Nothobranchius furzeri: one gene and its partner. The protein of the gene in region 1 purifies or fractionates together with the protein of each later gene. This does not show direct contact. Links are inferred from orthologs where the notes say so. Each region holds a gene or a part of one and is shown on either strand. Other genes may lie near its edges.

The links.
Region 2: the proteins of crnkl1 (region 1) and ccdc12 purify together in Homo sapiens (co-immunoprecipitation; 3 studies listed by BioGRID and IntAct, with this or other methods). This does not show direct contact. The link is inferred for Nothobranchius furzeri from reciprocal best matches to the Homo sapiens genes CRNKL1 and CCDC12.

What each region holds. Positions count from the first base shown.
Region 1 is NC_091742.1:17,432,679-17,437,396, reverse strand, and holds the start of crnkl1 (crooked neck-like protein 1), read left to right. Parts: upstream 1-1,295; 5' UTR 1,296-1,433; coding exon 1,434-1,481; intron 1,482-1,985; coding exon 1,986-2,138; intron 2,139-2,225; coding exon 2,226-2,317; intron 2,318-2,399; coding exon 2,400-2,558; intron 2,559-2,631; coding exon 2,632-2,798; intron 2,799-3,083; coding exon 3,084-3,262; intron 3,263-3,335; coding exon 3,336-3,506; intron 3,507-3,614; coding exon 3,615-3,806; intron 3,807-3,875; coding exon 3,876-3,935; intron 3,936-4,007; coding exon 4,008-4,088; intron 4,089-4,718. UniProt on the Homo sapiens protein: Involved in pre-mRNA splicing process. As a component of the minor spliceosome, involved in the splicing of U12-type introns in pre-mRNAs.
Region 2 is NC_091745.1:33,090,362-33,095,240, forward strand, and holds the start of ccdc12 (coiled-coil domain-containing protein 12), read left to right. Parts: upstream 1-1,471; 5' UTR 1,472-1,700; coding exon 1,701-1,784; intron 1,785-1,790; exon of another isoform or gene 1,791-3,057; intron 3,058-4,879.

The DNA.
Region 1 (4,718 bases):
CCGTTTATGACTCCTCATCTAATAAACAGCAAACTCACGACGGCAATGTGGTAGCCCGGAGGTATTCTACAAACACAAGAACAGTGCTAATTCCTATATGTATTGTTTTCACATTGGTTATGACAGCCTCTAGGTGTAAATGTCATTTTTACTAATTGCTATTTATCTCTGTCTCACTAGTGAGAGGCAGCTGATGTCCTATGCCATGGAACTGCTCATATACTCGGAGAAAATCAGAAAAGCTCTGGACTCATCTGAATTTTTCAAGAGGTTGTAGCAATGTGTGGACATTTATTATTATTATTATTTTTTGGAAGGTATTTGTAAGGCCAATAAAAGCTGTTGCTGGTTGTTTCATTTGTCAGAACTTTTTTTTCTAAAGCCAAACTTTTCTGCTTTTGTGTTTACAGTATATTCTTTACAGATTAGTGTATGGTCAATATCAGTTTACTAGTCTTGTGAATTGTATACTTAATGCAAAATATTTTAGTAATTTCTAAATCAATACATTTTGTGTGAAAGGGCCAGCAATTATTCCTGTTAACAGAATATATGAAATGCATATATACACATGTAAATATGCCTAAAAATTACACAGCAGCAGCTTTTCACTGTAAAGAAGCAATAAAAAAATCACAGATAGTAACATAAATATTAACTACTCACTCGTATGAACTTAGACCTACTGTTAGTGCCTGTAATAACAAATGGTTGAAAGTTAAATGTTGCTGTAGGAGGCGTGCTCCCAAAAATGGGGGTCAGTGGGCTTAAGGGGTTAATTAAAACGATTACCACTAATTACTTTTTCTGATATTTTATTTTATTGCATTTAAAATAAACACTTGCACATACATTACTCACCTGCTAACGTCAGTAAGCATAGGTATGTTGTGCCTATTGTACGGCAACTGATTATTTGTTGGTGGTATCTGTGTTTTATAATCTCACTGGGGATGGCCATGAAGTGTGTATACAAGAAATAAAAATAATCTCACTGGGGATGGCCAAAAAAATCCATACATTCATATTTAAACCTGGAGTCCTGTCTGTTTAATTACATTATTACTATTTCTATATTTATTTTCTTTCAATTGTGTTGTTCGCTGGGAGGGCCGCCGTTATTGAGCTCGGGGGTATCTCAACAGGGGGGCGTGTTTTGTCGGGGTGGGTGGGGGGTGGGGGGTGTTTGGCCGGGGCTACGTCTGCAGCTAGGAGGGTTTCAGTCACGTGGTACAAAAAATTGAGTTTTTTACTCTCTCCCTTTGTGTAACTTCCGTTGCTATACCAACGTACCGGAAGTCGCAGAGCATTGTGGGTACTGTCATGGTGGCTGGAGCAGCAAACGGAACGTTTATGTGGCTTAAGCTTTGAAACAGTCGTTTCTTTGGGACCTTTTATTTTACAGAGAACGTCTGGTCCGACACACCGGCAGCATGGCCTCCACGGCGGCAGGGAAACAGCGGATACCGAAGGTGGCGAAGGTAAGCGGACCGGAGCGCGGAGCTAAGAGCGGCTAAGCTAATGCTAACGCATTACTGTTTAGCTGTAGTGACCCGTGAGTTCTGTTCTGATGGCCCGGGTCCAGAGACACGAGCTCCTGTCCTCCACCGGGAGCTCAGAGGCTGCTCCTGGATGTGTGGGAGCTTTGGTTCCCCCAGATGTTCCGGTCACCTGGGATCTCAGCATCACTGCTAAGGTCCAGTAGTTCTGCCATGCTGGACCTGAAGTGCCATTTATCAGCACAACCCTAGAATGTTTCAGCTCACTGGTTCTGGTCCGGCCCGGCTCATCGATCATAACCAGAAAAACAAAACAAAAAAAAAATTGTAAATTCAAAAACGATCAAATGTTCTGGTAAAACGCAGAAAGACTTTTTGGCCAATTCTGGTTTTAAAGAGTGTAAAATCGCACCGGACCCTGGTTCTGGTTCTAGGACAGGAGTGGTACCGAGGAGTGGTCCTGAAGCTTATTGTGTTGCTTTCCAGGTGAAGAACAAAGCTCCTGCTGAGGTCCAGATCACAGCTGAGCAGCTGCTGAGAGAGGCCAAGGAGAGGGAGCTGGAGCTTCTGCCTCCGCCACCCAAACAGAAGATCACCGATAAGGAGGAGCTGAACGACTACAAGCTGAGGAAGAGGAAGGTGATTTAGAGAGCGTAGCCTCCATGGGTGGGTTAGTCTAACAGGTAAACAACACGTCTGATGGGTACTGGTCTAACTGTGTTTCAGGCTTTTGAAGACAACATCAGGAAGAACCGGACCATCATCAGTAACTGGATTAAGTACGCTCAGTGGGAGGAAAGTCTGAAGGAGATCCAGAGGTATTTAGGTCATCACCACAGCTGGAACTAGAGGTTTAAGGTAACCTGGTTAGTTGTTTAAACACTGTTCATCTGGGTTCAGGGCCCGGTCCATTTATGAAAGAGCGCTGGACGTCGATCACCGCAATGTCACTTTGTGGCTGAAGTACGCCGAAATGGAGATGAAGAGCCGCCAGGTGAATCATGCTCGTAACATCTGGGACAGAGCTATCACCATCCTTCCACGGGTCAACCAGTTCTGGTAGGACTCTATAGCTTGGGGTTCTGTCAGAGCCTTCACGTGTGTGCTGGAACGTTTTTGATGTTCTGCTCAGGTACAAGTACACCTACATGGAGGAGATGCTGGGGAACGTGGCTGGCTGCAGGCAGGTGTTTGAACGCTGGATGGAGTGGGAACCCGAAGAACAGGCCTGGCACTCCTACATCAACTTTGAGCTGCGCTACAAGGAGGTGGACAAAGCCCGGACCATCTACGAGCACTATATCCTTTCTACTGGAGCCCAGTAGAACCTAGAATGGTGGGGTTAGAACACACGTTCCATAAAAACAACCGGAACAGGTCCAGTCAGACTCGAATTAAAACACCAAAGATCTGTGACCCGGTTCAGCTACAGATTCAGACCCATAATGCCTTAAACCTGATCCTACAGAGTACTGGAGAACATCTCTGTTCCTTCTGACCCGGTTTTTAACTAACCCTGGTTCTGGTGGTTGATGGGCTGCGCGTGGTTTTGAACAGACAGGAAGTTCTTTAACTCGTCTTCACTCGTCCTTGTTCACCCGGAGGTGAAGAACTGGATCAAATACGCTCGCTTCGAGGAGAAGCACGGATATGTGGCTCACAGCAGGAAGGTGTACGAGCGGGCTGTGGAGTTCTTCGGGGAGGAACACGTGGAGGAGAACCTGTTTGTGGCCTTTGCCAAGTTTGAGGAGACACAGAAGGAGGTGGGTGCTATCAGAACTTTGTTTATGGGTTTGTTTGGGTGGATTCTCTTACTTCTGTTCTTGTTCTGGACAGTTTGAGCGTGTTCGAGTCATCTACAAGTACGCACTGGACAGAATCCCCAAACATCAGGCCCAGGAGCTCTTCAAGAACTACACCATGTTTGAAAAGAAGTTTGGAGACCGGAGAGGAATCGAAGATGTGATCGTCAGCAAACGGAGGTTCCAGTACGAAGAGGAAGTGAAGGTACTTCACCTGTCTGGAGGTCAGAGATGAAGTCTGGTTCTGGGCTCAGGTGTGCAGAGGCAGGTGTTCTGCTGTGTGGCCCAAACTCAGCAACTTCTCGTCCTTCAGGCTAACCCACACAACTACGACGCCTGGTTTGATTACCTGCGGCTGGTGGAGAGCGATGCGGACGCCGACACGGTGAGAGAGGTTTACGAACGAGCCATTGCCAATGTGCCCCCCCTGCAGGAGAAGAGACACTGGAGGCGCTACATCTACCTGTGGATCAACTACGCTCTGTACGAGGAGCTGGAGACCAAGGTCAGTGGTCCTGCAGCGTTCCTGCAGAGGGCGCTGACGGACCGGTGTAACGGTGACATGTGTCGGCAGGACCCGGAGAGGACGAGGCAGGTTTACCAGGCTTGTCTGGAGCTGATCCCTCACAAGAAGGTCTTTAGAACTTCACCATGATGTAACCCCCCACCACCACCAGGCTGTGACGTGCTTTCTCTTCTCTTTCAGTTCACATTTGCTAAGATGTGGCTGCTTCATGCTCAGTTTGAAATCCGACAAAAGAATCTTCAGAACTCCAGAAAGATCATGGTGAGCTTTGGCGCTGCACTCTTGTAAAACCAAACCACACAACCTTAAGCCTGATTTATACTTCTGCGTTGCCCCAACCCTCTTACCTGGCCGACCTGCGTTTCTACACACCCACTCGTGCCCAACGTTCAGCTGAGCAGCTGCTGCTGATTGTTCCAAAGGTTCCCTATAAATGTTTAAAGAGCAAGTCACCCCCAAATCAACTTTTTTTTTCTGATAAACTATACAAATGCGTGTCTAATCGTGCTGCAGACACGTGTAGTCAATAGTTTAGCACTTTAGTGCATTTTAGTTAAAATTTAAATTTTCTGCCTAAAACTGTCAGTGTTGTGCCGTTGTCAGGTAAAAACTCTGCTCTGTAGTTGAATTTAAATCTGCCATCGCTATTGGCTAAGAGGTACCCTAGAATGTTAGCTGGTACCATATGATGTCACAATGTCGTTGTGAGCCTGTGTGTGTGCGTATTTGTTAGCGGCTCCGCCCTCTCAGTCTGCTAGGCAACAGCATTTAATGCATTTTTCAAACAGGAAGTGGGAGTGGAGTAATACTCTGGTAGGGGGTGTCTTGCTCTTTAAATAAATATAATATAAGGTCCGAAAATATGAACGTTATTCACCCGTGAGTGAAGGA
Region 2 (4,879 bases), on another chromosome or scaffold:
ACCTAAAAACACACCTCCTCCGCTTGGCGTTTCCAGAACATGTTTGATTATGGCCCTCTATTATGTTGAATCCATTCCACAGTTTTCATTGGTACACTCAATCCATCCACTCAATCCAATTGTGTTTCACACATTTGTATTTTACCGGAATGTTTCATCTATCTTGTTATTTCCATTTTGTATTTTGTAATTTGTATTTTGTAATTTGAATTTCTTTTATTGTTGATTTATTCAGTATAATTACTTACAACTGTACCATGTTCAGCGCTTTGGGCTTCCTGACAGGGTTGCGGAAGGCGCTTTATAAATAAAGCTTTGATTGATTGATTGATTGATCTGCCTGTGATGACCAGAGCTACCATTTGCTGACTCTGAAGAACAACAGGGGTCTTGTGGTCCCATCTGAAGGTACTGTGAGGGTCATCAGAGAAGCAGAGTGGGCAATTCGCCAGGCATCGGTGAGCAGATGGTCACAGCCCATCAAACCACTGGAGGTCGTCTACATTGTGCGCAAGAGGATCGGGTCAGAGGATGTCTTTTTGCTTGGGGAGCACATCAGTGAGACACAGCACGGAACTGAGTCTCACTCCCATCCACTGTTGACATCTATTGTCTCCCTGTTCTTCAAGCTGAGGATGCAAGATTAGCAACTCTTAGCTTTCGGTGTGACAGAGTGAGACAGAAGCTCACAAAGCTGTCCTTTTCAAAGGTCAGTAGGAAATCACAATGTGCTTTAGCATCTGTCTTAGATCTGTTATTTTTATAATCAAAAACATGTATAATCTGTAATAAACATGTTTTTCATAACTGTCAGTCTGTCATTCATTTACTCTTTAATTTTTGATGTGTTTATTTAGCCCTTTACTTAATTAACTCACAATTATCCCAGTTTTCTCTTCTCAAACTTTCATTTTAAATGGGTTGCAGGCTGAAAGTGGAAATAAATATAAATTATTATAATAACTTGCCAAAGCAAGTATACATTAGGTTCATATTACCTGCAAATATTAAAGTCAAAGTAAATAAAATATATTCTGTATATCTTCAGTTGTCTTTTTATAAAATATTTTCTCAGTCATTGAGGTTCTAGAGTTGTTTTGTTTTTTGGACTAGGTGTTTAAATTTTGTTTCAAGCTTCTGTGTATTTTTATTTTTTTGTTTTACTATTTTCTGTAAATGAAATCAGGTATTTGAGTTTTTATTTATAAGTTGATTTGGTAAGTTCTAATGTATCTTAAAACTTATATTTATAAGTTGACCTTAGTTTACAAACTACAGCTAGTTCATCAGAAGCAGATCTTATTGACATTAAAACGGTAAGTCTATGGGAAATTGACAGGATAGGGGAAAATGGCTGGAAAGTGGAGTGAAATAAGGGGCGTTTCCTGCTAAAACTGATATATTTCATAGCCACGTCTCTAATGTTTCTAAAAAATCAAACCGTATGAAAATCGGTTGAAAATTGAGAAAGTTAACAGTTGTTTAAATAGTGCATGCACCACTAAACACCAGTTAGAGAAGGGCAGCTGTCAGAAGTAATATGGCCGCCGCGTACGGACGTCAGGGTCCATTGACGAACAGCGCGGGTGAAGGATCTAGCGACAAATGTGATCGATGAGCTCGACATGGGTTTAGACGTCCTCATTATTCAGCGTGGTTAATACATTTCAGAGAACATCGAACGGCATGTGGAAATAAACATGGAGCCACACGTCGGATCGCTGCAGGAGCAGGCTCTAAGGAGAAAGGAGAGGCTAAAAGAACTGAGAAATAAGAAAAGCCATGTAAGTTTCACTCCTGGTGTATAGTACTTTCAGGTAAATATAACACTGCTATTTCAAATCAAGTCGGTCTTTTGGCCACGTAACATTAGAAGACTTAGCGTATAGCTAACTTTAGCTAAATGTGAAGCAAATAAACGAAAACATTGCAAGTCTTGTAACGTTAACTACTCTTAAATATGCTTATATGTCGAAATTGCATTTACATTAGTCAAGTTAATTCTTGTTTTTTACTTGCAGCTAAACGTTAGGTGAATGGTAATTTGCGAAGCTGTCACTTCAGTAAAGTTGACCTTTCCAGCTCAAGAACATCAGATTAGAATGCTATTTCAAAACGTAAGTCACCTCTTTGGTATAAGGGAAAGGTAGGGTGTGTCCGAATCCAGGGGCAGGATGCTTGTGAGGACGGGTCCTTACCGGTTCAGCTAGGTCGGGTCCATGCTCGACCGCAAAAACCGTAAGTCAGCGGCTCTGAATTCGGACAGTCTAGCCTTCACCTCTACGGTGGCCCGTAGGTCCCGTCACAGCCGCGGCGGCAGCTAACACGCAAAGGAAAAATGCTAAAGCTAGCGAACATGGAGCAGGAGCATTAAGGAGCTACAGCAGCTTCACGTCCATCAGCAGCGTTTGTTCACAACCGTTTTCAGGTAAAGTAGTTTTGTTTATTCTAGAAGCTTTCAGGACTTACATGTTAACTTTAGATGGTTTCATGTATGTTTTAAGCTACAGAATGAACTTGTTAAACATACACAACACATTACTACAGAGTATTAACATGTAGGTAATTATTATAAACCAAATGCTTTATAAATGTTGAATGCAGTAGGATGTTTTCTAATGTAAATTGGAACTTAGCACTTCTTTTTTAGCATCAAGTGGGTGTAAACTTTTTAAAACAGGCTTTTGTAAATAAAGTAACAAAAAAGTGTTTTCAATGTGCATTTGTTTATTCAACTTAAGCCTAATAATGATTAGATCTGTCTTAAAAATGTAAATTCTCTGTAGTTTTTATTTAACTATTCCCTGCTGCTTTTCTTTAAACAGAACAGAACCAGTGTACTGCAGGTTATATGTTTGTTTTACATTTTTCAATAAAAAAAACTTTTCTTATCTATTACAGGTCAGCATGCACTGCACATCTGCCTCTGTGCTGGTGAAGATGTGGCCCTGGAGAATGAGACTGAGGAAGATGTTACAGACGATCAGAGGCTGGTATGGAGGTCAGTGGTGCTCTGTCCTGGAGGAGGTACCAGCAGACCACCACTGCTGTTAACAGGCAAGTCATTTATGCAGACCTGCCAAGTACGCAATTTGGCATCTAATTACGCTGGTACGACTCACCCCTCTACGCAAAAAGCTGCAGACACGTGAGTTCTGTAGCGATTATGCACGTCTGGTACTCATGTCTGACAACACGACTCAGCAGCGTGGTGAAGAAGTTTAAGCCAATCATCTTAGAAAAGCGGAAAAGAACAATTCTGCCTGACTTATAGGGTAACACCCCCGCCCCCTCCTCCCTGCTGTATCCTCCAGTTCCCACTTGCTGCTGTTCTGGCGTTTAAAAAAGTAAAGTGTGTGTATGTGTGTCAGATGACTGGACCGGCCTAGTGGTCGCACCCATGGGAGATGCTGATGATTTAACACCCACACATTTTCTAATGAGCAGGTTAAAACACCCATGCTTTACCGCAGTTTAGTTAAAAACCGTTACTATCAGTCCGCTCCCTCCATGTTTCTCGATGTGTTTGCCGTCTCTCTCTCCCTCTCCTGCTGCTAATCAAAGCCTGCACATTTTTGCAACGATGTTACGTCATATTCTGCTCGGTTTTGTTGTTGAAACCCATTTCTCCTACCGCTCCCCAGCGCGCAAGCGGCAAAAACGTGCGCCCTCACTACAAGCTCGCTGCTGCGGTGCGCTCTGCTCACACACAACAGAACTGCTGCCTCCGTGCATAAAAACATCCTTTTTGTGCAAATCAACTTTTGACACTGGAACTAATTCAGTTGTGAAGTTATGTGTACTAACCCTGCTTATGGATCATCTCAGAGATGGATTGTCGATGTGAATATTTATTTGTTTGTTTGTTTATTTATTTTTTAACAAGAACAAGACATACAATTATTACAAAAAGCAAAAAAGAACCATTAGAATTGGCTGGGCTCAAGATCTATGTCAGGTTTAAACCCCTAAGACATCATAAACAACACAAGGAAGGAGATGCAAAAGTCAGAATTCTGTTTTATACTCGAGGAGGATGGAATAAGGTCCGATTAGCCCAGTCTCCACTGGGCCAGCAGATCCTCAAAACCATCCCGCCTTTGAAATCCGAGCGTGTCCTTTTATTACAAGCTGGGCGGGTCCCTAGGTACATGCCTGAGAGCTTACACTGAAGGATGGGGGAATCACAGCTCTCAGTTTTTAGTAATTGTTACAAGTTTCACACAAAGAGCGTTCAGTTTTTCTAATCGGTGTCTATTCACACGATGTGCAACAGACAGTTGCACGATTCAGCAGTAGTCCAAGTCAGCAGATGTCCTTGGGCAACATCAAAATCATCAATATTAGAACCAATAAAAGGCTTGAACTACTTCAGTTATGTGAATGAATCTAATATATATGAAAGTCTAATGTTTATCAGTACATTACAGACAATAATGAACTTTACCACAATATGCTAATTTTTTTAGAAGGACCTGTAGTTTGTGATTTGTGAATCCTTTATTTGGTAAATGGTAAATGGCCTGTGTTTAATGTAACTCCTTCTAGAGTCCTGGAACCCCTCAAGGTGCTTTACAACACAATCAGTCATTCTCACACACATTCACATGCTGCTGGAGGTGAGCTACGATGTAGTAGAGGTGCTGAAAAAAATCAATTCAAGTCTGAATCGAGATTCTTACTTATAAAGGTTCAGAATCGCAGACGTTCCGCTGCTGTTTCTCACCAGGATCAGCTGATGGAGGGCTCTAGTTTCGTTGCGATGTTCGTGCCAGCGGACACGGTAGCGTCAGGGAGGGGGCCGGGGCATGACGCTTAGCCTGGCAGATGGCCAAGCAAAGCCTGGTGGCCCGCCAGGCTTATAAAGCGCTGGTGTAAA